Macaca mulatta: one gene and its partners. The protein of the gene in region 4 interacts with the protein of the main gene of each other region in a biochemical or structural test. Links are inferred from orthologs where the notes say so. Each region holds a gene or a part of one and is shown on either strand. Other genes may lie near its edges.

Region 1 (3,500 bases), on a different chromosome or scaffold from region 4:
GTATGCTTAGGGTAAATAGTACTTTATTAAAAAGATGTGGTACTGAACATATTTATTTCATAAACTTTTTCATAATTCATAGAATCACCTTATTAGATTATAATTCTCTTGAGTTATATAAGAGCTAATGAGATTTAATGGTTTTGAAATGAGCTATCAAAGAAGCAAACTTTTTGAAGTCTGTTCATAAAGGGCGATAGTCACATTTAAGCCTATTTGACTTGTTTTCCTGACTTTGCTCATAATCAATGCAGCTGAACGCCAAGGGAACAGAAACACCCGCAGTAGTGACAGAGGAAGATGATGATGATGAAGAGACTGCTCCTCCTGTTATTGCCCCACGACCAGATCATACGAAATCAGTGAGTGTCGATTGGTGACCTAGGCTGTGTGTGTGCGTGTGTGTTTTAAAAAACAAGAGTCTGTATTTGACTTTCAGTGATTGCTTTTAGAAAGCCGTCGAGTTTAAAACCATTTAGTGTGGGGAAATTTAACCGAGAGATCTGTACCCAAAGACCACTCACCAAAAACTAGTTTTCTGAAGATTGAAATGTGATGTGTCTTTAAAAGTTAACGCACTCGAGGCCGGGCGCGGTGGCTCACGCCTGTAATCCCAACACTTTGGGAGGCTGAGGCGGGTGGATCACGAGATCAGGAGATCAGGACCATCCTGGCTGACATGGTGAAACCCCATCTCTACTAAAAATGCAAAAAATTAGCCGGGCGTGGTGGCGGCGCCTGTAGTCCCAGCTACTCGGGAGGCTGAGGCAGGAGAACGGTGTGAACCCGGGAGGCGGAGCTTGCAGTGAGCCGAGATCGCGTCACTGCACTCCAGCCTGGGCGACAGAGCGAGACCCTGTCTCCAAAAAAATAAATAAATAAATAACGCACTCACCTCACTGGGCTTTTTTCTTTCTGTAGTACGCTTTTCCAGTGGGTTCATCTATTTCCCAAGCTTTCTCTGTTCATCTCAACGTAGATGGCTGGTAAATCTATTACAGCTTTCCTCCTACCCAGATGATGTGTTTTAATCTCCCATTTTACACTCCTCTCAGCGCCTTCATGTCATTCAAAAGGCAGTTGAGAGTGAAATTCCTAACCAGGTAAGGGAGACTAAAAATGATGGCCTTAAATGGAGCCAGGAAGAGAGGAATGACTGCAGTTACCGTTCTGCTCTCTGCACTGATGCAAGTAGAGGGTGGGGAAGGTGCTGTGCCGTGGAATGGGCTGTGCTCGTGGCACAGTGGGCAGGCAGAGCTCCGGGGACGGCCTCTGGATGCCGAGCTGACGGCAGAGGACTGTTTTCTTTAGCCTTTAAACCTGGCTATTTGAAATGGGTGGTAGGCATTATAATTGTGTAAAAACTTTTGTGGGAATTAATAATCTTTCAACGTCAAGGTTTCCATTCTTTTGCATTTTACTTACATCTGTAGTAAAAACAGGATTTTTTTTTTTTTTTTTTTTTTTTTTTGAGACGGAGTCTTGCTCTGCCACCCAGGCTGGAGTGCGGTGGCCGGATCTCAGCTCACTGCAAGCTCCGCCTCCCGGGTTCACGCCATTCTCCTGCCTCAGCCTCCCGAGTAGCTGGGACTACAGGCGCCGCCACCGCGCCCGGCTAGTTTTTTGTATTTTTTAGTAGAGACGGGGTTTCACCGTGTCGGCCAGGATGGTCTCGATCTCCTGACCTCGTGATCCGCCCGTCTCGGCCTCCCAAAGTGCTGGGATTACAGGCTTGAGCCACCGTGCCCGGCCTAAAACAGGATTTTTAAACTGTGCTTTTTGATACATTGTTGTACCATTTTAGACCTGGTCACACTTAAATTTCATTCATGGACTTGCTGTTTTACTAGACAGCTTTTCAAATATATACATGCTATGCCAAAGAAAAATGTTTCATATTTTTTATTCTTAGTTACACATCTTTTATATCTGAAAATAGTGTTCTCATTATTTAGAACAATGGAAGAGATAACTTAGTTCAGGTTAAAAATCAAAGAACTGAATTAGTGTGCCAGCAAGAATATCTGAAAACATGATTCCTCAGACCTTAGTAATGAACTGTTTCTCCACAGATTTACACACGGTCTGTAATTGACCCCGTTCCTGCACCAGTTGGTGATTCAAGTGTTGATGGTGGTGCCAAGTCTTCAGACAAACAGAAAAAGAAGACTAAAATGACAGATGAAGAGATTATGGAGAAATTAAGTATGTTATCTACATTTTTTTTTTTTTTTTTTTTTTTTTTTTTTTTTTTTTTTTGAGACGGAGTCTCACGCTGTTGCCCAGGCTGGAGTGCAGTGGCGCGATCTCGGCTCACTGCAAGCTCCGCCTCCCGGGTTCCCGCCATTCTCCTGCCTCAGCCTCCTGAGTAGCTGGGACTACAGGCGCCCGCCACCGCGCCCGGCTAATTTTTTGTATTTTTAGTAGAGACGGGGTTTCACTGTGGTCTCGATCTCCTGACCTTGTGATCCGCCCGCCTCGGCCTCCCAAAGTGCTGGGATTACAGGCTTGAGCCACCGCGCCTAGCCAATTTATCTACATTTTATATCATTGTTAAATTGTTAACAGCTCTTAAAACATTTGGCCCAGACGGATTTTAACTTACACCTTACATTATGGCTTAAAGTATAAAGAATACATTGTTTTCTTATAGCAACGGTAGCTTCAATTACAATCTAGAGATGTCGCCGGGCGTGGTGGCTCACCCCTAAATCCCAGCACTTTGGGAGGCCGAGGTGGGCAGATCACCAGAGGTCAGGAGTTCAAGACCAGCCTGGCCAACGTGGTGAAACCCCATCTCTACTAAAAATACAAAAATTAGCTGGATGTGCTGGCATGTGCCTGTAATCCCAGCTACTTGGAGGCTAAGACAAGAGAATCACTTGAACCCAGGAGGTGGAGGTTGCATTGAGTCAAGATTGCGTCACTGGGGCGGGCGCAGTGGCTCACGCCTGTAATCCCAGCACTTTGGGAGGCCGAGGCGGGCGGATCACAAGGTCAAGAGATTGAGACCATCCTGGCCAAAATGGTGAAACCCTGTCTCTACTAAAAACACAAAAATCAGCTGGTGTGGTGGCGCGTGCCTGTCGTACCAGCTGCTTGGGAGGCTGAGGCGAGAGAATTGCTTGAACCCGGGAGGTGGAGGTTGCAGTGAGCTGAAATCATGCCACTGCACTCCATCCTGGCAACAGAGTGAGACTCCATCTCAAAAAAAAAATGCTAACTGACCATGCACTGTGGCTCACGCCTGTAATCCCAGCACTCTGGGAGACCAAGGTGGGCGGATCACTTGAGGTCAGGAGCAAGACTAGCCTGGCCAACATGGCAAAACCCCATCTCTACTAAAAACACAAAAATTAGCTGGGTGTCTTGGCAGGCGCCTGTAATCCCAGCTACTTGGGGAGCTAAGGCAGGAGAATCACTAGAACCCAGGAGGCAGAGATTGCAGTGAGCCGAGATCGTGCCACTGCACTCTAGCCTGGGCAAAAGAGAGAGACTCA
Region 2 (3,960 bases), on a different chromosome or scaffold from region 4:
CCCAACAAGGACACCTCCACAGGCAGGTAAAGGGTGGAAGGGAAGCATCCAGGAAGAAAACAGAACATGCAAAAGCGAAGATGAGAGTGGCAGGGGAGCCACAGAAAGTGAGGCTGCAAAGGCAGGCAGTGGTCTGATGCCTGAGAGTTTCTTATTCCATGTTAGTCTGAAATTTATCTTCAGAATATGAAGAGTCAGGGGTAGGGGGCATTGATGTGGTAAGGTTTTGTTTCACGGAAATCTTTCTGGATGCACAGTACCTTCCTTTGAGGCACTGCTTCCTTCAAACCTAGCACAGGGACTCAAAACATGCGCTTAGTAAATGTATATTGAATTGAACTGAACAAGCTTTTTACCAAATGCCCTCTTATGGATGAGGCAGGTCACCTTCCCTGCAGGACTCACTTTGGCCAAGAGAAGACTTGTAAAACAGGTCCAGCAGCCTCAATTATTGCACACTACTACCTGTACAACTGGAGTCCCCCAGAGATTAGGGCAGACCTTCATTGTTTACTTGTCTACCTCACCCATTAGACTTTGAGCTCTTTGAAGACAGGGAATATCTTAATAGACTGAATCCCCATAGCCTTAGCAAGAGGCCTGAAACATAGTAGCTCTCCAAACTCCAGTAATGTTGGATAAATGAATTGACTGAATTAGCAAATTCACCAAGGCAGACACATGAGTTCATGTAGTTAAGCGTATGGATAAACTTCAGGGAAAGTATGGGAAGTTTTCAGCGTCAATGTTCCCAAAACCCTTTTTGAAAGGCATAGTTGCTAGTTGGGGGGGGGGGGGTTCTACGCACGTGATTTAGAATTTTCCAAATAGGAACCAAAATGTTGTAAGTGCTGTGGTAGAAATCTCACCGGGCCAATGGGAAAAAGTCAGTTCTGTCTGAGAGGAGGGACAGGATGGAGGCCAGCAAAGATTTCACAGTGTGGGAATTCTTCAGTGGACTCTTGAAAGCTGAGTTGGTGCTTGCTACCTGCCCGTTTTGGGGCATAAAACCAAACTTCTGGAGCTTTTAAGGCTGGAAGTGACCTGCTCAAGGTCACACAAGAAGTAGATGAAGCCACAAGGTAAGAGATGAGGTATCTGTACTGATAATTCCTACTTTCTCCTGACAGAGTTGAAAGAGAACCCACAAATGTAGGAGGCAAAATTAAAGATTTTTCTCAAGAACAATTCTTAAAGTCAAGACTAACGAATTGAATTTTTATTAGTAACCACAGAACTAACCCTTCCCTTCACTGTTCAGTTTTTGTTAAGAGTAGAACAATTATCCAAGGGGTTTAAAAACCAAGGACGTTGCTCACAACCCACTACTTCTCAAGTATTCTTCCAAAACATTCCCAGTAATGTGTATTGTTGAAATAGGATAGCGAAGACTACAACAATCATGTCTTTTCAAATGGATTAATGAACATAAAATAACTATAAATCTCCTTTCCCGGTTGTTTTTCACTTCCCAAGTTACAGAATATTCCGCGGTGGGGGAGGGGCTGCGTAAGTCAAGTCCTACCAGCCCTTATTTTTCAGGGAGTAAAACCCTAAAGGTGACTGTCCAAGCCTAGAAGGGGTCATTTATTCCATGCAGAAGGAACTGGGGCGCCGCTTTGCTGTGCCTCCTCGTAGTGGGACAGGGTGAGCTCTGCAGGACTGCAAAGTTCGGAAGGGACTCGGTCCCGGACCGGTACCCGTGGGGGCTCCCGGCCCCAGCCTGGCCTGGCCCCGCCCCGCCCCTTCCCTCTCCCGGGTCTCTCGATCGCCCGGCGTCTGAGACCCGCGACCCCGCCGGTGAGCGCACGGGGGGCCTTTGTTGGCCCGACGGGAGCGGGCCTCGCTGGGCGACGCCCGCCTCACCTTACCTGGAGCCTCCGCCGGCCCAAGCGCCCGGCCCCGCCACGCGAGATAAATGGGCCCAGACCCCTACTCCACCCGTCCGCACCCCCGCGCCCCAACCCTGGCAGCCCGGGACGCGAGGGGTACCGGGCGGGAGGCCCGCTCTCACCTTCCGCGCTCGCTCAGCTCCTCTCGGCTCCTCCTCCTCCTCCCGATGGTGGGTGCCGCCGAGCCGGGAGTGAGGGCGCGAGTGTGTGCGAGCTACCGCTTCACTTTCTCCCTCCTGCCGCCGCCGCGCCGCCAGTGCCGGGGATCCCCTCAGGACAGGGGAACTGCGAGGGAAGGGATGATGGGGGGGCGGCAGGGAGCGAGGCGACGCGGGGCGGGGGCAACGGTGGGGGGCTGAGGGGCGAGGTGCGAAGAGCTCGGATGGCCTCTGAGGCAGGAGATGGGAACTGGATGCGGAGACCAGGTTCTTCGAGGGGGCTCACGAGAGCGCGGGGCTCCGTGAAAAAGGGAATAAGAGTCCGAGGGGGAAAGCGTCTATGGAGGAGGACGGCGGAGCCTGCGAGGGAGGCGCAATAGGCGAACGAGGGGGCGGGAGCGTGTGGGGGAAGCCGTGAGGGGGCGTCTACTGTGCAGCCGCCACCTTCGGCTCCGGCTGCAGCCGCGGCAGGGCCGCCTCCCCCGCCTACAACTGCGCTATTGTACGCCGCTCGGCGGGCCTGACCGCCTAGTTCACTGGCTCCCCTCCTCCTCCTTCTTCCCCCTTACCCCCGCCCTTTCCCCCTTCCCTCCCCCCCGGCCTTTCCCCCTCCCCGGCGCGGCGGTGGCTCCGGCGGAGCCGTGCCCGCCCCGCCTCCCGCAGGTGGGAGGGGGCGGGGAGCGCCTGACCGACCCGTAGGAGCGAGGCCAAACCCTGGCCTGCAGAAGGGCGAACGCCTGGGATTGCGTCATCGGCGCGTGACGCCAGAGGCTGGGGAATCACCCGGCTGCTGCGTGACGTCATCGCGTCGCGTCACTCTTCTCGGTCCGCTGTCCTTGGCCGGCAGTTTCCGTGCAGCATTTCTACCAGACAATTTTGGGACTATTTCTGGGAGGGCTAATGGTGTAGCCAGGATGGAGAAAGACGGCTAACTTCCGTGGCTGAGGATCCTCTTCAGGTTAACGAAGCACCACCGCATCTATAAACTCGTTGTCAAGGGCTGAAGTTGAAAACTCTCCGACGTTGTGTGATCGCAGAGCCAGACGTGTATTATGTTTTCTTTGTGTGGGAGGTGGGAGAGGGGACGGGGATGGGAGGAAGACAAAGAAATTATAACGGAGAAGTTTGAACTACTGTGAACTGATATAGGATTGTGAATTGATATAAACAAGAGTTAAGTTCCTGTGGCATATTTCTGGTCACAAGACATCACCAAACTTCTAAAGAACAAAACACCTCTAATATCAAACATTGACATCAATGTGACTTATACATACATTTAAGAAAGATTAATAAAAAGAGGCCAGACCAGGTGCCTTGGCTCACGCCTGTAATCCCAGCACTTTGGGAGGCCAAAGTGGGCAGATCGCTTGAGCCTAGGAGTTTGAGACCAGCCAAGGTAACATGACAAAACCCCATCTCTACAGAAAAATAAAACCCAAATACAAAACATTAGCCAGGCATGGCAGCACACACCTGTAGTCCCAGCTACCCAGGAGGCTAAGGTGGGAGGATCACTTAAGCCCGGGAGGTCAAGGCTACAGTAAGCCATGACCACACGTCTTTGCACTTCAGTCTGGGCGACAGAGTGAGACCTTGTTTCAAAAACAAAACAAAAAACAAAAGCCTGGGCACAGTGATTCATGCCTGTAATCCCAGCAATTTGGGAGACCAAGGCAGAAGATCACTTAAGCTGAGGAGGTCGAGGTTGAAGTGAGCTGTGATCATGCCACTGCACTCCAGGCCAGGAAACAGAGTGAGTGGAATAAACAGAGTGAGTGGAATAAATAAGTAAGATAAGTGTCTCAAAATAAACAAGATCATTATTTACCCAATTTTTCCAGTTCAGGGTTGAGAGTGGCTAGAGCCTATCCCAGCAGCTCAAGGTGCAAGGCAGGAACCAACCATGT
Region 3 (3,500 bases), on a different chromosome or scaffold from region 4:
TGATGTATGTGTGAACCACAAAGTGCTTGTTATTGTAAGTTTTAATATGTAAAATTAACCAATGCTACATATTTAGATTCTATTTTTAGGAGTAGCTGTGAAGTTGTGTCAAAAGCAAATTGTGCAAAGCTAAAGCAAGGGATTGCTGTACGGTTCCATGGAGAAGAAGGCATGGTGGGTATAAAAGATGATGATGTAGAAATCACTGTATGTAAAGAAAGATTGAAATGCCTTTTGAATAAAGTTTAATGTTCAGTTGATAAAGGAAGAAACTTTATATTTAAATTTTATTTAGAAAAAAATTTCCCAGTATAACATATTTCTGTTGATGCTTAATTTTATTTCTTGAATTCAGGGTCAAGGTGTTGTGCGTGAATGGTTTGATATTCTGTCCAATGAGATAGTCAATCCTGATTATGCATTGTTTACCCAGTCAGCTGATGGTAAGTTGTATGGTCTAGTTGACTTTTTCTGCAACTTGTCACATTTTTCACACTATTTCAGTACATTTTATTTTTGATTTCCACAGCAGACCTGTGAGCTAGGTGGGATATTCTTATTTTATAGATGAGAAAACTGAAATTCAGAGTTTTTATCTGCATTCACACAGTTAATAAGTAGTAGAATCATAAGTGGAACCTGACTCAGTCTAACCTTTTTTCCTCTTAACAGCTGGTTCCCAGATGCTTATCTCAAGGACTAGTGTTGGCCCCAAGGAGGTTTCTTATCAGTCCTTTATAAAATAAAACTAAATTTGCTCAATTTAAGGATTATCCTTTAGTCTACTTTTTTTGAGTTAGATTTTTCATTTCATTAAAATTAATGGTGCTTGTAGATGGCCTTAAACAAATACAAGTCCCTATTTGGAAAAATAAAAATTTGCTAACTCTATTTGAGTTTCCAAGTTTTAAAATATATTGGTTAGGAAAACCAAAGTCTAGAAATCATGATGTAAAATTTCAACTCTTAATCTATTTATATATACTAACTTTATTTTCAGTCATTTTAAGAGATCAAGACCTGGCTACTATAAAGCTCTTATTTAACCATATACAACAGATAATTAACCCTCCTTGTTGAAATGGTGCTTGTGACCTATAGAGTTTAATTTGCTATTGTAGACTAAATGGAAATAGTTATCTCATTTGTGTGAGGCATATTTGAGAGCTCTCTAACTTAATAAAGACATATTCCAAGTGAAGGTGGGATTTCAGTTTTCAAATGCTTTGCACAGTCGCTCGTTTTTCCTGAAAATCTTTTCTTTCCCCAAATGTTTACATTCTTTTATCAGGAGAGAATACTTCATTAATGGTAGCTTCTGATTGCTTCCAACCAAACTAACAGCAAATCCCTATTTGATAAGAAGGATGATTTTAAGGGAGGCATGTGGGAGCGGGCTGCAACAGAGCTAGGCTGCTGCAGGCATTCATCCCTGTGATGGGCTTCTTGGATACACTTTGAGTATTTGCAATTGCATAGGAACATGGAACTGCCTGCTTTAACTTGGTAACCTTTGATTCTTTGCTCTGAGGTGAATTTGGTGTCTTTGTGAATGACAAGTTCAATGAACCCCTGAGTTTAATTATTTAGGCCTAATCTTTGAAGCTAGATCTAGCATTATATTTTAGACTTACTTCTTCTCTTTATATCCTTTATTCTAAGTCTACTTAGCTTAATATCTGAAAAACAGATTTGGTGTGGAATCATTAGTTGAGGTACTTCCTTAATGTTATAGATTTGTAGCAGAGCAAATGTTGAAGTACATAGACCCATAAAGTTGTTGTTGTTGTTTTTTTTTTCCTTTGAGACAGAATCTCACTCTGTCACCCAGGCTGGAGGGCAGTGGCGCAATCTTGGATCACTGCAGCCTTGACCTCCTGGGCTCAAGGAACTGTCTCACCTCAGCCTCCCGAGTAGCTGGTATGGCTAAGGTGGGAGGATCACCTGAGCTGGGAGACCAGTCATGGTGCCTAGCTAGTTTTTGTATTTTGTAATTTCTCTATTCTTTTCGTGGAGACGAGGTTTCACGATGCTGCCCAGACTGGCCTCAAACTCCTGAGCTCATGCTGTCTACCCGCCTCGGATTACAGGTGTAAGCCACTATGTCTGGCCAGACATTTTGATTTATGTCTTTTGTAAGCCATATCGGTCTCCTCTTTGGGGTCATAGTATTAATAAATTAAAATCAAGCTGAAATATTTTCACACTCTTAGGTTTAGTTGACAAAGAGAATTACATATAGGAATCAAGAATTTCTAAATGTGGCAAATGTTTGGGTAGACCTGATATCTATAATAATTTTTTTAAAAACTTGTTTTCTAATGAAATTAAGATGCTTACAGTAGTGAAATAGTATAGTTGTTATGAATTTGTCATTTGGGTTTATACATGGTGAGAATCTTGACTGCTGTTCTTTTGATATGATCTTGGGGCCAGTAAACTTAATTTTCTGCACTTTCGTGTCCTCATTTAAAAATGGTGATACCTGGCTGGGTACGGTGGCTCACGCTTGTAATCCGAGCACTTTGAGAGGCCGAGGTGGGCAGATGACAAGGTCAAGAGATTGAGACCATCCTGGTCAACATGGTAAAACGCCGTCTCTAACTAAAAATACAAAAATTAACTGTGCATAGTGGCATGTGCTTGTAGTCCCAGCTACTTGGTAGGGTGAGGCAGGAGAATTGCTTGAACCCAGGAGGCGGAGGTTGTAGTGAGCCGAGGTTGCGCCACTGCATTCCAGCCTGGTGACGCGGCGAGACTCCGTCTCAAAAAAAAAAAAAAAAAAAAAGATGATAACCTGTGTTTTGTAATGTGGTAAGAATTCAGTTAGCTAATATGTGAAAATGCTTTGTCGGTGCCTGGCATATAGAAAGTATAAATATTATATGCTATTATTATCATTACATGAAAATGATATTATTGTATACTAGGATTTTTCTGAGAGCATGAAAACAGTTGGAGGAGTAATAGCTATATATATGTTTTTTGAACTTAAAATTTATCATAAACTTTTAATTCTATTTAGAATTTTCTTACTCCTTTTCTGAAGATTTTCTCCCTATATGTTTCCTTTTTTTAAAAAAAAAGTCTCCTTATCCTTTTTAAGTATCTAGATTTCTCAGAAAGTAATTAGAGAGGGAATTAAACACAGAGCTAGGGGAGGAAAATAGAGTCATCAAAAATCTTTGTAGCCCTAATCATTCATTGTTTTAACAGGTAAAAAATATTTGTGGTTATTCTCAGAATATTATATTTTTGGGATTATGATTATATTTGTCTTTGAAGTCTGCCTTTATCTCACAAAGCTTTGCTTTGGCTTTTAATATCAAGTCTTGCTTCATGACAGGGAATTATTCTCCAAAGGTCCTTAACAGTGAATGATGAGACTCACATGACTTACTAATACCATAGGATTCCAAATTTGTACCTTAATATCTAAATAAACTAGTCAGCAGTTTAACCTGGTGTCAGCACTGAGAAATCAAAGATCAATGAAACAC
Region 4 (4,174 bases):
GTGTATGATTTTATTCTTCCTTATAGTTTTAGATTCTGAATTTCCTAAAAGGACCTAATGTCATTGCACATAGTTATTACATGAAGATAACGAAACGGGGGATGGAAATCAGTGCCCTCCGATGGCCCCGAGCCGGAGTTAGTGACAGGGAGCGTGGCTCCTGCAACCACAGTCCCTCTTTTTTTTTTTTTTTTTTTTTTAAGACGGACTCTCACTCTGTTTCCCAGGCTGGAGTGCAGTGGTGCGATCTCGGCTTACTGCAACCTCTGCCTTCTGGGTTCAAGCGATTCTCCTGTTTCAGCCTCCCAAGTAGTTGGGATTAAAGGTGCCTGCCACCACATCCGGTTAATTTTTGTATTTTTTATTTATTTATTTTTTGAGACGGAGTCTCGGTCGGTATCCCAGGCTGGAGTGTAGTGGCGCCATATCAGCTTGCTGCAACCTCCACCTCCTGGGTCCCGGTTCAAGCAATTCTCCTGCCTCAGCCTCCCGAGAAGCTGGGATTACAGGCACCCGCCACCATGCCCAGCTACTTTTTTTTTTTTATTTTTAGTAGAGATGGGGTTTCACCATGTTGGCCAGGCTGGTCTTGAACTCCTGACCTCGTGATCCACCTGTTTCAGTTTCCCAAAGTGCTGGGATTACAGGCGTGAGCCACCATTTTGTATTTTTTTTAGTAGAGATGGGGTTTCACCACGTTGATGAGACTGGTCTCGAACTCCTGAACTTGTAATCCACCCGCCTCGGCCTCCCAACCAAAGTGCTGAGATTACAGGCGAGAGGTGAGCCACGGCGCCCAGCCACCACAGGTTCCTTTTTTTTGAGACGGAGTCTGGCTCTGACTCCAGGCTAGAGTGTAGTGGCGCCCTCTCAGCTCACTGCAACCACCGCCTCCCAGGTTCAAGCAATTCTCCTGCCTCAGCTTCCTGAGTAGCTGGGACTACAGGTGCGCGCCTCCACGCCCGGCTAATTTTTGTATTTTTAGTACAGACGGGGTTTCACCATGTTGGCCAGGATGGTCTCAATCTCTTGACCTTGTGATCCTCCCTCCTCGGCCTCCCAAAGTGCTGGGATTACAGGCGTGAGCCACCGCGCCCGACTGACAGGTTCCTCTTAAAGCCTAAACCGTGAACCCCAGGGAAAGGACCTGCAGGTCCGGCCACGCCCAGGCCTCCTTAGCGCGCCAAGATGGCGGCCGCCGCTCCCCGCGGTCGGAGCCGAGCGGTCCCGAGCGCTTCCGAGCATTCCCGAAGTCCAGAGAAACTCCGGGAGCGGCGCGGGCGGGAGCGGCCCCGCCCGGAACCTGGGAGCGGCGACGCCGGCGCGGGGGAGGGGAGGCCGGATGTGAGTGGAGCGGCCATTTCCTGTTTCTCTGCAGTTTTCCTGAGCTTTGGGTGGTGGCCGCTGCCGGGCTTGAGCTTCCAGTCCGCGGAGGGCGAGGCGGCGTGGACAGCGGCCCCGGCACCCAGCGCCCCGCCGCCCTCAAGCCGCGCGCTCGTCCGCCGCGCCCCGAGCCCGCCGCTTCCTATCTCAGCGCCCTGCCGCCGCCGCCGCGGCCCAGCGAGCGGCCCAGATGCAGGCCATCAAGTGTGTGGTGGTGGGAGACGGGTGAGTGCGCGGCCGGGGCCGGACTGGGGACGGCGGGGTCGGGCGCGGGCGGGGGTCTGGCCCGGACTGAGACCCAGGCAGGCAGGCCGCCCGCTGCGGGCTCGCGTAGGCTGTGGGCCTGGGCCTGTATCGCGGGGCGGGGGCCGCGGGCTGGCGCCCCCACTGGACCCTGACTTCCCGGGCGGCGCGTGCCAGGTTCCGGCTCTGGATGGAGGAGGGCCTTGCCGCTCGCCGGCCGGAGGGAAAAGTGAACTCCACCCTCCGGCTTTCTTCCCGGACGCCGCCCGCCGCCCTCCTCGGGAGCGCTCGTAGAGGAAGCGCTCTTGGAGATTTTGACCATTTTTCCAAAAAGGGACTCTTTCTTGTTTTTTGCATGAACCTCTCAATTCGCCTTGAGAGCTGTGTTGGGAACGCGGCGGTCAAGTCGATATTTGATGCATGCTTGATTGTGCGGGCCTCTTTGGTGCCCCCAAACTTTTCTTTAGAAAAATATATTTTTTTTCATAGACCGGTTCTCGCTGTGTTGCACAGGCCGGTCTCGAACTCCTGGGTTCAGGCGATCCTCCCATCCCAGCCTCCCAGAAATGCTGGGATTACAGGCGTGTGCCACCACGCCTGGCTAATCTTTAAAACTTTTTGTAGAAATGGGGGTTGGGGGTCTCGCTGTGTTGTCCAGGCTGGTCTCGAATTGCTGCGCTCAAGTGATCCTCCTGCCTCTCAGCCTCCAAAAGTGCTGGGGTGACACCGCGCCCGGCTTCTAAACTTATTTTCGAGCAGGATTTTTCAACTTACACTTCTGCCACTGTTAGGATTCTTAAAATTGTTGTTTTCGCCTATTCCGTGGAGAAAGTTTTTAAGATGCTGGCTGGGAGGAGCCGGCTGTAAGGGGCACTGTTTTTTCTTTTCTTTCTTTCTTTCTTTTTTTTTTTTTTTAACGTGGTGTGGTCATTGATAAACTGTTCTTTGCTTAACGCGTTAGGTATGGGATGTAGCAGAACTGGCCCCCTGTGACTCCAGGCATTGCTTTTCATGACTGTCTGTGGTGGTTACAGGCCCTGGAGGAAGACAAGACTTGTCTTATGCAGTTTTTTCTCCCATAGAAACAAGAATCTCAGTGTAACCCAAGCAAAATCGCGCGTCTCAGCGTTGCTTGTATAGGTTAGTGTTAGCAAGGAAGAATTACTACCAGTTTAATAAAACTCAGTGCAACTGGTACATGTTCCAGTAAAGTCCAAGGCAAGCTCTGGCATCACGGTTAACTGGTTGATATTCTTCAAACTTGTCATTAGGACAGATTTTGGTTCTTGCAATTCAGATGCAAGAAGGATAATTAGACAACTGATTTTTGTAAGATGCCCATCTGTCATATTTGTCTTGGAAATGTGAAATAATATTATTAATGCCTCATAATTCTGTTTATATAATAACTAAAAATTCTAACTTTCACTTATTTAAGAGTATGTAGGCTATCCAAGGGTTTTTTTTTTTTTTTTTTTGTGAGACGGAATCTCATTCTATTGCCCAGGCTGGAGTGCAGTGGCACAATTGCGGCTCACTGCAACCTCCGCCTCCCAGGTTCAAGCGATCCTCCTGCCTCAGCCTCCCTAGTAGTTGGGATTATAGGCATGCGCCACCGTGCCAGGCTAATTTTTGTATTTTTTAGTAGAAACGGGGTTTCACCATGTTGGCCAGGCTGGTCTCGAACTCCTGACCTCAGGTGATCCACCCGCCTGGGTCTCCCAGAGTGTTGGGATTACAGGTGTGAGCCACCGCGCCCAGCCCAATTTTTTTTTTTCTTTCTTTCTTTTTTTTTTTCTTTTGAGACAGGGTCTCACTCTGTTGCCCAGCCTGGAGTGCAATGGCGCTCTCTCTGTTCCTGCAACCTCTGCCTCCCGGGTTCAAGCAATTCTCATGCCTCAGCCTCCCAAGTACCTGGGATTACAGGCACACATCACCACACCCAGCTAATTTTATTTATTTATTTTTTATTTTTTTGGTAGAGATAGAGTTTCGCCATGTTGGCCAGGATGGTCTCAAACTCCTGACCTCAAGTGATCCCCCCGCCTCGGCCTGTTTTTTTTTTTTATAAGTCATATTGCTGATAATTATTTGAAAAATGCTGAAACTAAAACATAAGCATAGCAGATACGTTTATTTAATACTAACCGATTAAGGACCTCTGCTGTTTGAATTGGCTGTTTTATCTAGTCAGATAACTTGTCGAATGCCTATCCTGGAATCTGGACCCTCCCTTCAAATACCCACTCCACCGCTTACATGGGGTAACCCTAAGCACATCCCCCACCTCCCAGGAGAGGTGGTTCAGCGGGAGGTCAACAAGAGTAAACAAGATGTTGGTTATTAACTACTTTGCAGGTGCCCCTTGCTGAGTGCTTAGTAAGTGCCTGGTACTGTTACTGCGGTTTCTACGACAGAGGCTCTGTGAGGGAGTATTAGGTTTAAAAACCTGTGGCCTTGAGTTTTCAGTCTGTTTTTTTTTTTTAATTAGTTATGAGCATTTGATCAAGCACAGTTTTGTTTTGTTTTTTTTGAGACAGAGTCTCGC
Region 5 (3,500 bases), on a different chromosome or scaffold from region 4:
CCACTTATTTTTCAGTTTGTGAGGTTGGATCCAAATATGAAGACATGTATAAGAATGATCTTTGTGAAAATAGTTACTAATACTAAAATCTGCATGTTTAATATCCATTTTCTGCTTTGGCTGCACTGTGTAGAGTGTGCTGTCTGGAAGGTAGATGTTTGCTTACTATTTCACTTATGCCTCTCCAGGCTGTTTGGTTCTTTCTGTCATGTGTTCATTTCTTTTCTATAAGAAAAGACAGACCCATGGCTATCTTAATATTGATTGATTATTTTCTCTTTCATAGAAAGAGGCCTCAAAATAAGATGAAAAAGTCTCCTGTGGGTAGCTGGCGTTCCTTTTTCAACTTGGGGAAATCATCATCTGTTTCTAAACGAAAGCTGCAGCGGAATGAGAGTGAGCCTTCAGAGATGAAAGCCATGGCTCTGAAAGGTGAATGCCTGGGAGATTCTCACTTCTGCTGCTGTCATGATGGTCTTTGGTTGCTTTGGGCACATTCTTCACATATTGTTATGATCCGCTTCCGTAACATGTTCACAGTTGTGTCACACATATGGAGTGTCTTCTTTCACCAATTCTTTATTCCTAAACCGAAAAGTAATATTATATAAATGATATATAAATATGTAGAAGTATGCAATTTCTTTTCTTAAGGAAACTCTATATATAGTGTAAATGTGATTAAATTCCCATATACCTTGTATATTGTTGTAAATAAATACTGCTATGGTATCTAAATTTATCGATCTGTATTTTTACAGATCTAAAAAAATTTCAAAACTGTGTTTCAACATACCTTTCAAGTTTATAACTCTTTTAACTAAAGAAGGTATTATTTATTAGGAGTCTCATTAATAGAGTATTTTATTAGATCGAATAAATCTATTACTGTTGAAAAACTGCTCTTTTAAAAATCGTTTAAAAGCCATGTTCTATTGATAGTAACAACTTCTGAATCTAGGAAGGATAGTAGTACTTTCTTCTTAGGTAGTGTTTGAGGTGTAACGTTCAATTCATTTAATTCGTCATTCAGTTTGCAATCATGTAGAGCATGTGCTAACTATTTTGATAGCAGTCTCTGCAGATAGAAAATTAAGGTAGTCTGCCTTCCAAGTCAAATTGGGAAGTCATACGTGTAAGAAAGTGAATTATTAGCACAGAATCATAGTTACTGAAATAGTGGTTTAGGCTAGGTACAGTGGCTTACACTTGTAATCCCAACATTTTGGGAGGCCAAGGCGGGAAGATCGCTTGAAGCCAGGAGTTCAAGACCAGCCTGGGCAACAAAGTGAGGCGTTGCATCTACAAAAAAAAAAAAAAAAAAGATAAATTGCAAATAAGCGAGGCTTGGTGGCACACACCTATAGTCTCAGCTACTCTAGAGGCTGAGGTAGGAGGATTGCTTGAGCCCAGGAGGTTGAGGCTGCGGTGAGCTATGGTTGTGCCATTGTACTCCAGCCTGGGTGACAAAGTGAGACATTGTCTCTTAAAAAATAAAAGAAATAGTTACATGAGATAGTTATAGTAGGAATTGTCAACTCTTGTAGAGGAGGGGCTAGTGATTAGAAAATACAGCCTTTGATATGGGTTGTCAAGGAGAAGTAGGGATTCACCTAACTGACAAGGGACTAAGAATGGTATTTCAAGAGATGGGAGCAGAGTGAAAAGAAGCCAGCTGAGGGCTGAATTTTGGAGAGAAGCAATGTTTAAAGGTGGGAAAGGAAGAGCTGTCATGAGAGGAGAGTAAGAAGGAATGATTATAAAGGTAGGCAGAGAAAAAAAGATGCATGCTATCCTTAGCAGGGGAAGAGGGGGTTAAAAAGAAAGCATTCATAGTGCTGCCAGGGGGTTAAAGAGGACGAAGATATTTAGCGAATAAGATTCACATATGTACGTAAAGTTACCTGTGTTCATATCCCAGAGTTCCCGTAACGAATTACCACAAGTCGAGTGGTAAAAAATAAACATTCTTTTTTTTCCGTCGTGGCTCTGGAAGCTCAAAGTCTGAAATCAAGGTATCAGCAGGGCTGTGTTCTCTCCAAAGGCTCCACGGAAAAATCCTTCCTTGCTTTTCCCAGCTCCTGGTGGCTCCTGGCATTCCTTGACGTGTGGCAACATCCCTCCAATCTCTGCCTCCATGTCCACATGGCCATCTCTGTGTCTGTGTGTTCTTACAGGGACGCCAGTCGCTGGGTGTAAGGTCCACTCTACCTCCGGTATGATGTCATCTCAAGATATCATATTGGTCTTTACGAAATGTGAAAGAAAGCAGCATCTTAGTTAATCTCTGTGCTCAAATTCATAATCCTTTAGAAAAGAGATTTTTCACACGGGAAACCATTTAAGAACAGTGTCACACGCTATATAATAGAATACTAAATTGCTGTCGAAATGTACAGCTAATCACTCTCAGAAGTTTAAATGTATCAAGGAAAACACTGATCCCGTTAACCACGTATGTAACAAATAATAAATCTTCACGCTATTTGTTTTTTATTCTTCAGGTGGCAGGGCAGAAGGAACCCTCCGCTCAGCTAAAAGCGAGGAGTCTCTTACCTCTCTCCATGCAGTTGACGGTAAGACTGAAAGCTTCAGTCATTTCAGTCTATAATGTATTGCATGAAAGAATACTGCAGTTGAGTTTGTTTTTATATACCTGTGCTTAATAAGTAGGCTCTTCATTTCCTAGGAATACTAGTATCTATTTAGTATTATTCAGATTAAAATTCATTGATGCTTCCACGTGGTAGCAGTCTTTAATCTTTTCATTTTTGGCATGACTGCTATTCAGTTTACATAAAAATAGCTGAAATATTTCAAGTTAGCCATTTATATTTATTAATGTCTAGTGAAAACTTGTGTTATTACTATTTCCTTTAAATTTTACAATGGGAGCATAATTTTATAAAGTGTGTAATTAAGCAGTTTTGATATTTAGACCAGTAGTCTTTTGTCTTGCAAATGGCTTAACCTGGTCTTAAATTTCATAGATTGGATTGATTACATGTGGTCCTCATTTACAAGGATAATTAGCACTTGGAGAAGGCAACTTAAGATAAATCTTTGGCCAGACGTGGTGGCTCACGCCTGTAGTCCCAGCACTTTGGGAGGCTGAGATGGGTGGATCACCTGAGGTCAGAAGTTCCACACCAGCCTGGCCAATGTGGCGAAACCCCATCTCTACTAAAAGTACAAAAGTTAGCTGGGCATGGTGGCAGGCACCTGTAATCCCAGCTACTTGGGAGGCTTAGGCAGGAGAATCGCCTGAACCCAGGAGGCGGAGGTTGCAGTGAGTCTAGATTGCACCACTGCACTCTAGCCTGGGTGACAAGAGTGAAACTCTGTCTCAAAAAAAAAGAAAATCTTTTTAAAATAGGGACTAAAATTTCATGGTTAAGGGTGAAAAGAGGTTTGACTGCAGTGTAACTTAAAAAACAAAACTAAAAAATTGTGCAAATAAGTTTATATTCTCTCTTATTTAGCTAAAGTTAGATTATGGT
Region 6 (4,108 bases), on a different chromosome or scaffold from region 4:
GCTTCCTCATCTATTTAGTGAGGCTAATACCGCTTACTTGTAGTTTTGTTGTAAACTAAGATAAAGCCTGACATATTACTCATTTTAAAATTGTACACACAGACCCTGCTTTAACCAGATGCCTGCAAATACTCAGGTTTTCCTTCTACATATAGAAGACAACTTATCAGCTGCCAGGGCTGAAGCCAGCAGATATGGCTAAATGACAGAACAAAGGATTATGCCAATAAAGTATGCAAAGCTTCCTTGCCCAGAATATAAATCAAACAGAGTAAAAAGCGAGTATATTGGCTCCAGGAAAAGGAGCAAGGACAGCCAGTTTTCAGGCGACCTCGAATTCTCTCCGTTTAGGATTCACCAACCCTAAGGTCCACTGGGTCCTTCAATCTGAGGGTCCATCCAGGGCCTTCCCTCCTGGGGTTGGAGATGGCTAGCTGCCTGATGGAGAGACCCCAGGCTGCTCAGCAGCAACGCCTGGCACAGCCGAGACAGCCTCGTAGTCTGCGATGCGGCGCTGTACCAGGGCAGGCATGAGCTGCACGTAAGCGGCCATGAGGCGGTGGTTGGAATGGATCAGCTTCCCAGCACAGCTGTGCAGACAGGCCTCCTAGAAGGAAGATAGGGTTTAAGCGGAGGACAAAGGTGTCCTGTCGGGCCCGCCTCCTTCCTTCCCCATGCACAGCCTAGGGGTGAGGGTCTGGGAAGGCCAGGACCAGAGGTAGGGGAAGTGGGGTGAGGAGGGAAGCAGTCTACCGCTAAACTCTGTTTGCAGCGTAACCTCCTTACACAGTTCCCCACCTCCTCAGCGTCCAGAGCTCGGTGGTGCAAGCTGGGCACACAACGCTGGAAGCAGAGTTCTGTCATCCGATTGTAGACCAACAGGAAGTCACGCAGCTGGGAGAAAACCGGGACCACGAACTCAGCGATATGTGCCCCACACTTCTACTCAAGGTCGCGCAGCCCAAAGTTTCCCAGGCCCGCGCACCATAACCCGAAGTTTCCAGCCCTCAGATCCCTGGCTCTATGGGGTTTCCGCGATGTGTGCAGGAATGCGAGCTGAACGTCTGGCCCCGAAACGACTTAGTTCTCACTCACGTTTCTCAGTTGCTGTTGCTGCTGCTGCTGCTCCATCACGCCACCGGCGCATGCTCTACGCCACTTCCTTTTCAGCTTCTCGGTGCCGCCCCGGAAGTAACCTCTCGCTGCTCTCGAGAACCAAGCTAGAGTATCGCCCTGCCCCGGCTTCGACGTCACTTCCGCCCTTATAATCTGCGACGTGGCCGGCTTCTTCTGCCCGGAGAGGACGTCACTTCCGCCGAGTCCCTGACCTGCTGCTAGGATCGCGACGGGAACTGGAGCCCGAGGTCCCCGCGCGGCCCGGGCCTGGCGCCCTGAGGGGAAGAGCGGCCCGGCCCGAGGTGAGAGGGACATGCTTGGGCGACGGGAAGTTGAACGCACAAACCTGTCCAGAGGGCAAGATGCCCCGAGCCCTGGGGAAGAATGAGGACACACCTGATGTCCAGGTGTATGGGGGTGGGGGCGGGGACTCACATACCTGGGAGACTGACTGTGGAAGGGATCACCGATATCCTGGTAAAGACAGGCTTTTGCCAGAGACTGGGAACATACACCAACTGATCTAACTAAGGCCTGGTGGGGAGGGCCCAAGGAAGAGGAGTTGTATGAGACGTAGGAGGGGAGACCCCCTGAAGGAAGGGGGAAGAAACACTAAAGGAGTGAGAAAGGCCAAGCAATGGAGAACAAACCTGAATGGGGGGTGAAGACCTGAGCCCTGGAAAGGGTCCATCTCCTGCTCAGCATAAACACGCCTGCATGGAGATAAGTTCTAAGAGAGCTACTTTCCCTCTTCACTGTTGTATTTTCATTGTCACAAATAGTACCTGACACAGAGTAGGCACTCACTAAATGTCTGCTGAATGACTGAATGAGTGTAGAATAATCACCAGAGGCCTGGTGAGGTTGGGGGCTTGTGAGAAGACACCGTGCTTTGGTGTGCCTGTGTACAAATGTGCATTTTGGAGGGGAGAAATACATATACCTGAAGAAAGGAATGATGACCAAACGCTGGGACACTCAAACCCTGGGACAGCCTTTAAAGAAATGACAGAGGAGGCTTCCTTCTTCTAGAGTGCTGGCCAGTGCCCAGAACTTCTGTGTTGGGCTTTGCAGGGTGCTGGGGTGGAGAGTTTTACTCCAATACCTTTCCTAGCCATGACGGACGGGATCCTAGGGAAGGCAGCCACAATGGAGATCCCTATCCACGGGAACGGTGAAGCCAGGCAGCTTCCTGAAGATGATGGGCTGGAGCAGGTGCTTCTGTTTGATTCTTCTAATTGTTTCAATTTAGGAATCCAATTTATAAATCCTGGGTTCTCACCCTCCATTCCAGTAGCCTTCCCCTGAACTTATCTGACTCCCTTAATTTTACATATCATTTTGATTCTGTGCAGACTTCCCTTGTGTAGTGTCTTTATGATGCTTGAATCCAAACTTGTTCCCACCTCCAAAATGCTTCTGCAGTCCCTATGTTCCTGAAGCAACCCCTCTTCTCTGGCCTATAGGACCTCCAGCAAGTGATGGTGTCAGGACCCAACCTCAATGAAACCAGCATTGTGTCTGGTGGCTATGGGGGCTCTGGTGATGGACTCATCCCCACAGGTATGAACAGAAACAGGAAGCTTGGGTGGAGGAGGGGACAGGAATGGTTTGGGGAAGCATAGGATATGTCTAGGAAAGCTTGAATAATGTCTGGAGATCTTAGGAACTTCTGCTTGTAGGAATCCCATGGACTCTCCTCAGCCCAAAAGCAACTCCCAGCATTGTCCATCCATTTCCCTTTTGCCACTTGGCCCCTGAAATGGCTCATTCGTCCTTTCCCTGCCACCACCTGAGTCAAGTTAAGACCTACTTCACAGGAATGCCCCCGCTCTACAGCTTGAGGCTGAGTTGGAACTTTGTGAGGCTTTTCAGAATTTTTAGATTCTAAAGTTTAGAGGAACAAACAGCCCTGAATCTCACACTAAGATTCCACATGGGAATGCAACCAGGTTTCTTGTTATCATGACCCACCATCCTTGACTCCTGCTGCCCCCAAACTCAGTGTATTTTCTTCTGTTTCCTCTGCCCCTATACACCAACAACTCCCTGCAAACCCCTCCTCTGGCCTCCAAGGAGGCCATATGTATATCAGGATTTGGTTATCACTGTGCAAGGTCCGAGTTCCTCCTAGTAAACAGGAGAATCCAGTTGTCTCTAGCATCTCCTTCAGGGAAGTCAATTTCATGTGCTGGGAGAGAAGCATGGGTGGGGCCACAGAGGTGTCTGGTGTATCTGAGAGAGGCTGGTGTCAGAGAACTTGATCCTTTAGGGTCTGGCCGCCATCCATCTCACAGCACCACTCCTGCTGGCCCTGGAGATGAGGTGGCTCGGGGCATTGCTGGAGAAAAGTTTGACATCGTCAAGAAATGGGGCATCAACACCTATAAGGTAGGATTTGAGCACCTCTCACTTCCCCAAAACTCGTTATGGGTACCTTTTTCCCCTTTCCTCATGATCGTAATATCCCATCTGTGGCTGAGAGTAGGAGCCTGGGTGGCGTTGGGGTAGATACCTGTTGTGTCGGGAGGCTATTAGGGTCTCTGATCTATTGCCCCGTTTCCCAATCAGTGCACAAAGCAACTGTTATCAGAACGATTTGGTCGAGGCTCACGGACTGTGGACCTGGAGCTAGAGCTGCAGATTGAGTTGCTGCGTGAGACGAAGCGCAAGTATGAGAGTGTCCTGCAGCTGGGCCGGGCACTGACAGCCCACCTCTACAGCCTGCTGCAGACCCAGCATGCACTAGGTGATGCCTTTGCTGACCTCAGCCAGAAGTCCCCAGAGCTTCAGGTGCCTCACCCAGACCAAAGAGGGTGGGGGAACTGGGCATGGGCCCTCCCAGGCAGTCATTCGTCATCCTCCCTCCCTCCTGCAGCCCACAGGGAGAACCCCTTCAGGGTGGGCCCAGCCCTACCCCCAGCAGCACTCACCTGTGGAGGCAGCCTAAGGGTTTGTACAGAGGTCCAGAAGTTGGAGGGGGTGGGGGAGG
Region 7 (4,024 bases), about 55 Mb from region 4:
TCACAGTTTTCTGTTGCTTTAGGATTGAAAGAACAGATTAGCCCGCTGGGAGCGTGAAACAGATTTAAAAAAAATCTGCATGATATTTCCTCCCAGTGAAATTAATTTAGGTTTAAATACAGGGGGAAGGGGCACACCTTGTCCTCGAGTCTCTTTCTGTCACACACCTGAGCATTTCCTATCCTGAAAGGGCACAGTCGGACTTGCTGCTAAGTCAAGTCTTTTGTGAGAATCTTTTTTGCAAGGCACAGTAGGAGAACCTTTTTCTCTTTGACACCCGGCTTTGTGTGGGCCTGATGACACGTTTGGACGGCTCTATTTCTTTGAAGGCCAACCTCAGAGGCCCATGGACGCGTCGGGCGCTGTCCGTGGCTGGGTTACTTAAGTGTAGCTGGGTTGGCTTCCCGGGTGTTTTAGGAAACGCACCTTCTTGCAGGGCAGGGGCCGTCAGTTCCAGAGCAACAAAGGATAATTTGGAGGGGAGTGGAAGGAGCGCTCCACAGTGGCTCTGTCATCCCAGGTTCCCTTCTGCCTAGCACCGTGGCCCTAGTGATCCCGCCTTCGCCCTCTGGATCCCCCACCCCCACTGTCTCGCTGCTCCAGAGCCCAGCGGGGCGCGGCGAGCCCCACCACCTTCCCCCACACCCTCCCTCCCCATCCCCTTCAAACCCTACGAGCAGCGCTGCGCGCCGCAGCCGCGCTCGCCCCGCGCCCCGCGCCGGCCTCCCCAGCACCCCGGGGACCCGGTCCCCGGTCTCGCCTCCCCGTGTCCAGCAGTTCACAGCCTCCCCCTCCAGCCCCACTGGCGGGAGCTGTCAAGCCCGCGGTAGCCGAACCAGCCCCCGTGCGCCCGCGTCTCCTCTCCTTCCTTTGTGTGTGCGCGAGCGGAGTTGGGGCGGAGGGAGAGGGGGAGGTCGCTCTGTCTGTCCGTCTCCCGCCGCCTCTGCCCGGGCTACTCGAAGTGCGGCCGGAGAGGCGGGAGCCCAGGAGAGGGTGCGGGAGCTGGCGGGGCGGCTCGGGGCCGCCGGGACGCCCTGGTCCTAGTCGCGCACAGGGTAGCGCGGCCGGCAGAGGGGCTCGGCGGGAGCCGAGATCCGCCCGTCCCGGCCGCCCCTCGGCCTCCCTCTGCTCCCACCTACCCCCTGACACCCGGAGAAAAGCGTGCAAACGCGCGGAGCGGGACGGAAACCACAAATAAATAGCGGCGGCGGCAGCGCGTCATCTGGTGGAGCAGGAAGTGCAGGCAGAGTCCGGAGGCTGGTGCTTTCTGCGCGTCCCCAGGACTTTGCCATGGGCTGGGGGCCGCGGAGGCTGCGAGCGGCCGGGCGAGGGCAGCGGCTGCGGCGCCCGCACCGGGGCTGAGCGAGCAGCGACGCGAGGGGCGCGCGGAGATGGCAGCGTCCAGCAACTCCAGCCTGTCCGGCTCTTCGGTGTCCTCCGGTGAGTTTCAGCCCGTCGGGCGCGGCTGCCGCGCCGGGTCTCGCCCCCTGCCCTCGCTCCGCACCCTGGGATGGACAGAGCCTACCTGTGGCCGTCCCGCCCGCTCTCTTGGAGTGGGGGCAGGCGTCTGGGGTGACACTTGTTTGGTTCGCTAGCACCTCGGTGCCCAGAGCACCTCCGCGCCTGACATCTGACAGCGCAGAGGTGGGAGAGCGGTGGTGCCCTTAGTGTGCGGACGCGGGTGTTCTCGGGCTTGGGGTGCAGCGGGCGAAAAGCGAAAGGAGCGGGCAGGCTCGCACTTTCTGGCGCAGCTGGAGCGGGGGCTGGCGGGGCGGAGAAGGTTGGGGTCAAGCTGAGCGCCCCGACCTGTTTGCCGTGCCTCGTCCGCTACCCTGGACACCCAAATCCGGAGCAGAGGGGAGCAAACCCTCGTTCCTCGCAGACTTGATTTTCTTTGTTTGTTTCAGAAATTAGCTCTGTGGAGACACTCGCTTGGGCATGGGTTTGAGACAGCAGCGATGAAGGGATGTGTCTTTCTGATCCTGATTGAAGTGGGTTAGGGGAAGGGAGGTCGAGCCCAGCCTCTGACTCTTGGCATATTTACAAGTTGTGTGTGTGTGTGTGTGTGTGTGTGTGTGTGTGTGTGAGAGAGAGAGAGAGAGAGAGAGAGAGAGAGACAGAGAGAGAGAGAGAGAGAGAGAGAGAGAGAGAGACTCCTTAGACATTTTCTAATAATACTGTCTGTAATTTCACCAGCAAGGCATACATTTTTTTATTCCTTTTAAGTAAGGTTGAGCAAAGGGAAGGCTTCTTTCAGCTTTTCTATGGTTGATCCTCGGGTCTAATTGAAGAGGAAAAAATTGCTAATGAATCTGAAGGAGTAGGAATCAATAGAAGCAGACCCACTGGTTTCTGAGTATGACAGGTTTCTAATCAGAATGATGCATTAGATAGAATTCCTCTACCTCTCTGGTCATTGAAAACTTTAATGACAAACCCAAAAGGACAGCTGATAAGACATTTAGTGTAGTATACGGTATTTAAGGGTCAAGAAGGTCATGAAGTCCTAATGGAAGTGTTCAATATATTAATATTGTATTAAGTCCCATTGGGCTGTTTTTATTATTATTCACAAATTAAACTCAAAGGAATAAACACCTTTTTGGAGGCAGTGGAGAGCAAGCAGGGCATAAAGGCAACCACAGCTTTCGATGTGTAACTCACTAAATCATAAATGCAAGGTGAATTTGACTAAGGTGCAATTGTGATGTGGTACAAGGTGATCACTTGAAAGCCATCTGTTATCTTTCTTGGCAGGTTTAGTTCCTGGGAAATGGCACTTCCTTTCTCGATCACTGCCAACTAATCGAAAACACATCGTTGTTAGGTGTGTGACATAGTTCAAGTTTCTAGTAGTAGCAGCCAATGAGGCAGAAGTCATATCTTATTAAGAGCAGCAACAAGTTGACCACCGTGGTTTTAATTCTGAGAACTCAGCAAATGCTACAGTTTATTTTTAGTACCCTCAAACCACTGCTGCTGTTTTTCAATTCATTTTGGTTGACTAACATTGAATTGAAAATACAGTGGTGTTGGCTTTCTATTAGCATATGGTTATTCCTCTCAGAAAACTGCCCACTAGAAAATGAACTGGTGGGGCAAAAGAAAAGACGAAAGGAGAAAGGACAAGGAGGTGGTGGTGTCACATGATTTACTGGTGGCATGAATTACAGCTGCTGTGGCATCTGAATTTCCAGATCTTGATGTAGCTTAAGAAGCCTGATTGAAAATCCTAACAGCCTTCGGAAGAATACATTGGTTTGAAACAACACAGTATGAGATTTAGATGATGTTAATTGCTTTCAGATAGGATAGAGATGCCCATGATGGTTCTTTTTCCTGCTTTATTTACCCGTATTTTTAATCCTAAGGGAAACTGGGAAATTATGTAAAAACTGAAATTCAAAAAGTGGGCATGGATGTATTGTTTGGCATGAATCAACCTAGCCCATAAGTTTATACTGCCTAATTCCCCAATTAATCAGGCACTTTGTCTTGAAAAATACAGCATTGTAGTTCTCTTTTTAAGCACACTTACCATTGTGTGGATCATGAATAATTCAGATGACACAAGCAATTCACACCTGTGAGAGGTGTTGGGCAGAAAGAATAGAGCCTATTTGTGGTGGCAGCTGGGCTCTCTCAGGCGAAGGCCAGAACCTGAGAAATTAGGGCACTCCATCAGTCTATTAATCACTATTTTCAAGGGCCTACTATGTGCCAGGCAGTAAGTTACAAACCTCAGCTTCAAGAAGGCTAAGGGGGAAAGATAATTATAGGCTTCCTTCTGGCTCTGAAGTTCTGGGAGTATTGTCTTTTAATTCTGGCTTCATCACCAACCAGCCAGGTATCTTGAAGTGCGTTACTTAACTTCTCCAAGCCTCAATTTCCTCATTTGTAAATGAGGCTGATACTGATGATAAGACCTACTTCATAGAGTGTCTTGGGGATTGAATGACATAATGTATGTAGAGTATTTAGCACAGGGCCTAGCATTTAATAAATGCTTAATGTGAATAAATTT

What was found.
Region 1: the proteins of RAC1 (region 4) and PAK2 form a complex in vitro, tested with the Homo sapiens proteins (2 studies listed by BioGRID and IntAct). The link is inferred for Macaca mulatta from reciprocal best matches to the Homo sapiens genes RAC1 and PAK2.
Region 2: the proteins of RAC1 (region 4) and PAK1 form a complex in vitro, tested with the Homo sapiens proteins (17 studies listed by BioGRID and IntAct). The link is inferred for Macaca mulatta from reciprocal best matches to the Homo sapiens genes RAC1 and PAK1.
Region 3: of the proteins of RAC1 (region 4) and HACE1, one has a biochemical effect on the other in vitro, tested with the Homo sapiens proteins (5 studies listed by BioGRID and IntAct, with this or other methods). The link is inferred for Macaca mulatta from reciprocal best matches to the Homo sapiens genes RAC1 and HACE1.
Region 5: of the proteins of RAC1 (region 4) and ARHGAP32, one has a biochemical effect on the other in vitro, tested with the Homo sapiens proteins (3 studies listed by BioGRID). The link is inferred for Macaca mulatta from reciprocal best matches to the Homo sapiens genes RAC1 and ARHGAP32.
Region 6: the proteins of RAC1 (region 4) and ARFIP2 form a complex in vitro, tested with the Homo sapiens proteins (2 studies listed by BioGRID and IntAct, with this or other methods). The link is inferred for Macaca mulatta from reciprocal best matches to the Homo sapiens genes RAC1 and ARFIP2.
Region 7: the proteins of RAC1 (region 4) and CHN2 form a complex in vitro, tested with the Homo sapiens proteins (2 studies listed by BioGRID). The link is inferred for Macaca mulatta from reciprocal best matches to the Homo sapiens genes RAC1 and CHN2.

Annotation. Positions count from the first base shown.
Region 1 is NC_133407.1:2,349,721-2,353,220, forward strand, and holds part of PAK2 (serine/threonine-protein kinase PAK 2), read left to right. Parts: intron 1-254; coding exon 255-362; intron 363-2,072; coding exon 2,073-2,205; intron 2,206-3,500. UniProt on the Homo sapiens protein: Serine/threonine protein kinase that plays a role in a variety of different signaling pathways including cytoskeleton regulation, cell motility, cell cycle progression, apoptosis or proliferation.
Region 2 is NC_133419.1:77,888,564-77,892,523, forward strand, and holds the start of PAK1 (serine/threonine-protein kinase PAK 1), read right to left. Parts: upstream 2,801-3,960; 5' UTR 2,744-2,800; intron 2,676-2,743; exon of another isoform or gene 2,178-2,675; 5' UTR 2,015-2,177; exon of another isoform or gene 1,872-2,014; intron 1-1,871. UniProt on the Homo sapiens protein: Protein kinase involved in intracellular signaling pathways downstream of integrins and receptor-type kinases that plays an important role in cytoskeleton dynamics, in cell adhesion, migration, proliferation, apoptosis, mitosis, and in vesicle-mediated transport processes.
Region 3 is NC_133409.1:80,964,548-80,968,047, forward strand, and holds part of HACE1 (E3 ubiquitin-protein ligase HACE1), read left to right. Parts: intron 1-76; coding exon 77-174; intron 175-355; coding exon 356-443; intron 444-3,500. UniProt on the Homo sapiens protein: E3 ubiquitin-protein ligase involved in Golgi membrane fusion and regulation of small GTPases. Acts as a regulator of Golgi membrane dynamics during the cell cycle: recruited to Golgi membrane by Rab proteins and regulates postmitotic Golgi membrane fusion.
Region 4 is NC_133408.1:44,637,067-44,641,240, reverse strand, and holds the start of RAC1 (ras-related C3 botulinum toxin substrate 1), read left to right. Parts: upstream 1-1,374; 5' UTR 1,375-1,573; coding exon 1,574-1,608; intron 1,609-4,174. UniProt on the Homo sapiens protein: Plasma membrane-associated small GTPase which cycles between active GTP-bound and inactive GDP-bound states.
Region 5 is NC_133419.1:129,340,124-129,343,623, reverse strand, and holds part of ARHGAP32 (rho GTPase-activating protein 32), read left to right. Parts: intron 1-286; coding exon 287-432; intron 433-2,504; coding exon 2,505-2,576; intron 2,577-3,500. UniProt on the Homo sapiens protein: GTPase-activating protein (GAP) promoting GTP hydrolysis on RHOA, CDC42 and RAC1 small GTPases. May be involved in the differentiation of neuronal cells during the formation of neurite extensions.
Region 6 is NC_133419.1:59,303,476-59,307,583, forward strand, and holds the start of ARFIP2 (arfaptin-2), read left to right. Parts: upstream 1-1,308; 5' UTR 1,309-1,418; intron 1,419-2,190; exon of another isoform or gene 2,191-2,230; 5' UTR 2,231-2,232; coding exon 2,233-2,331; intron 2,332-2,582; coding exon 2,583-2,679; intron 2,680-3,388; coding exon 3,389-3,507; intron 3,508-3,687; coding exon 3,688-3,909; intron 3,910-4,108. Other genes in the region: TIMM10B (mitochondrial import inner membrane translocase subunit Tim10 B), read right to left, coding at 431-607, 799-894, 1,096-1,131. UniProt on the Homo sapiens protein: Plays a role in constitutive metalloproteinase (MMP) secretion from the trans Golgi network. May have important functions during vesicle biogenesis at certain cargo subdomains, which could be predominantly utilized by secreted MMPs, such as MMP7 and MMP2.
Region 7 is NC_133408.1:99,150,391-99,154,414, reverse strand, and holds the start of CHN2 (beta-chimaerin), read left to right. Parts: upstream 1-1,224; 5' UTR 1,225-1,391; coding exon of another isoform or gene 1,392-1,440; intron 1,441-1,525; exon of another isoform or gene 1,526-4,024.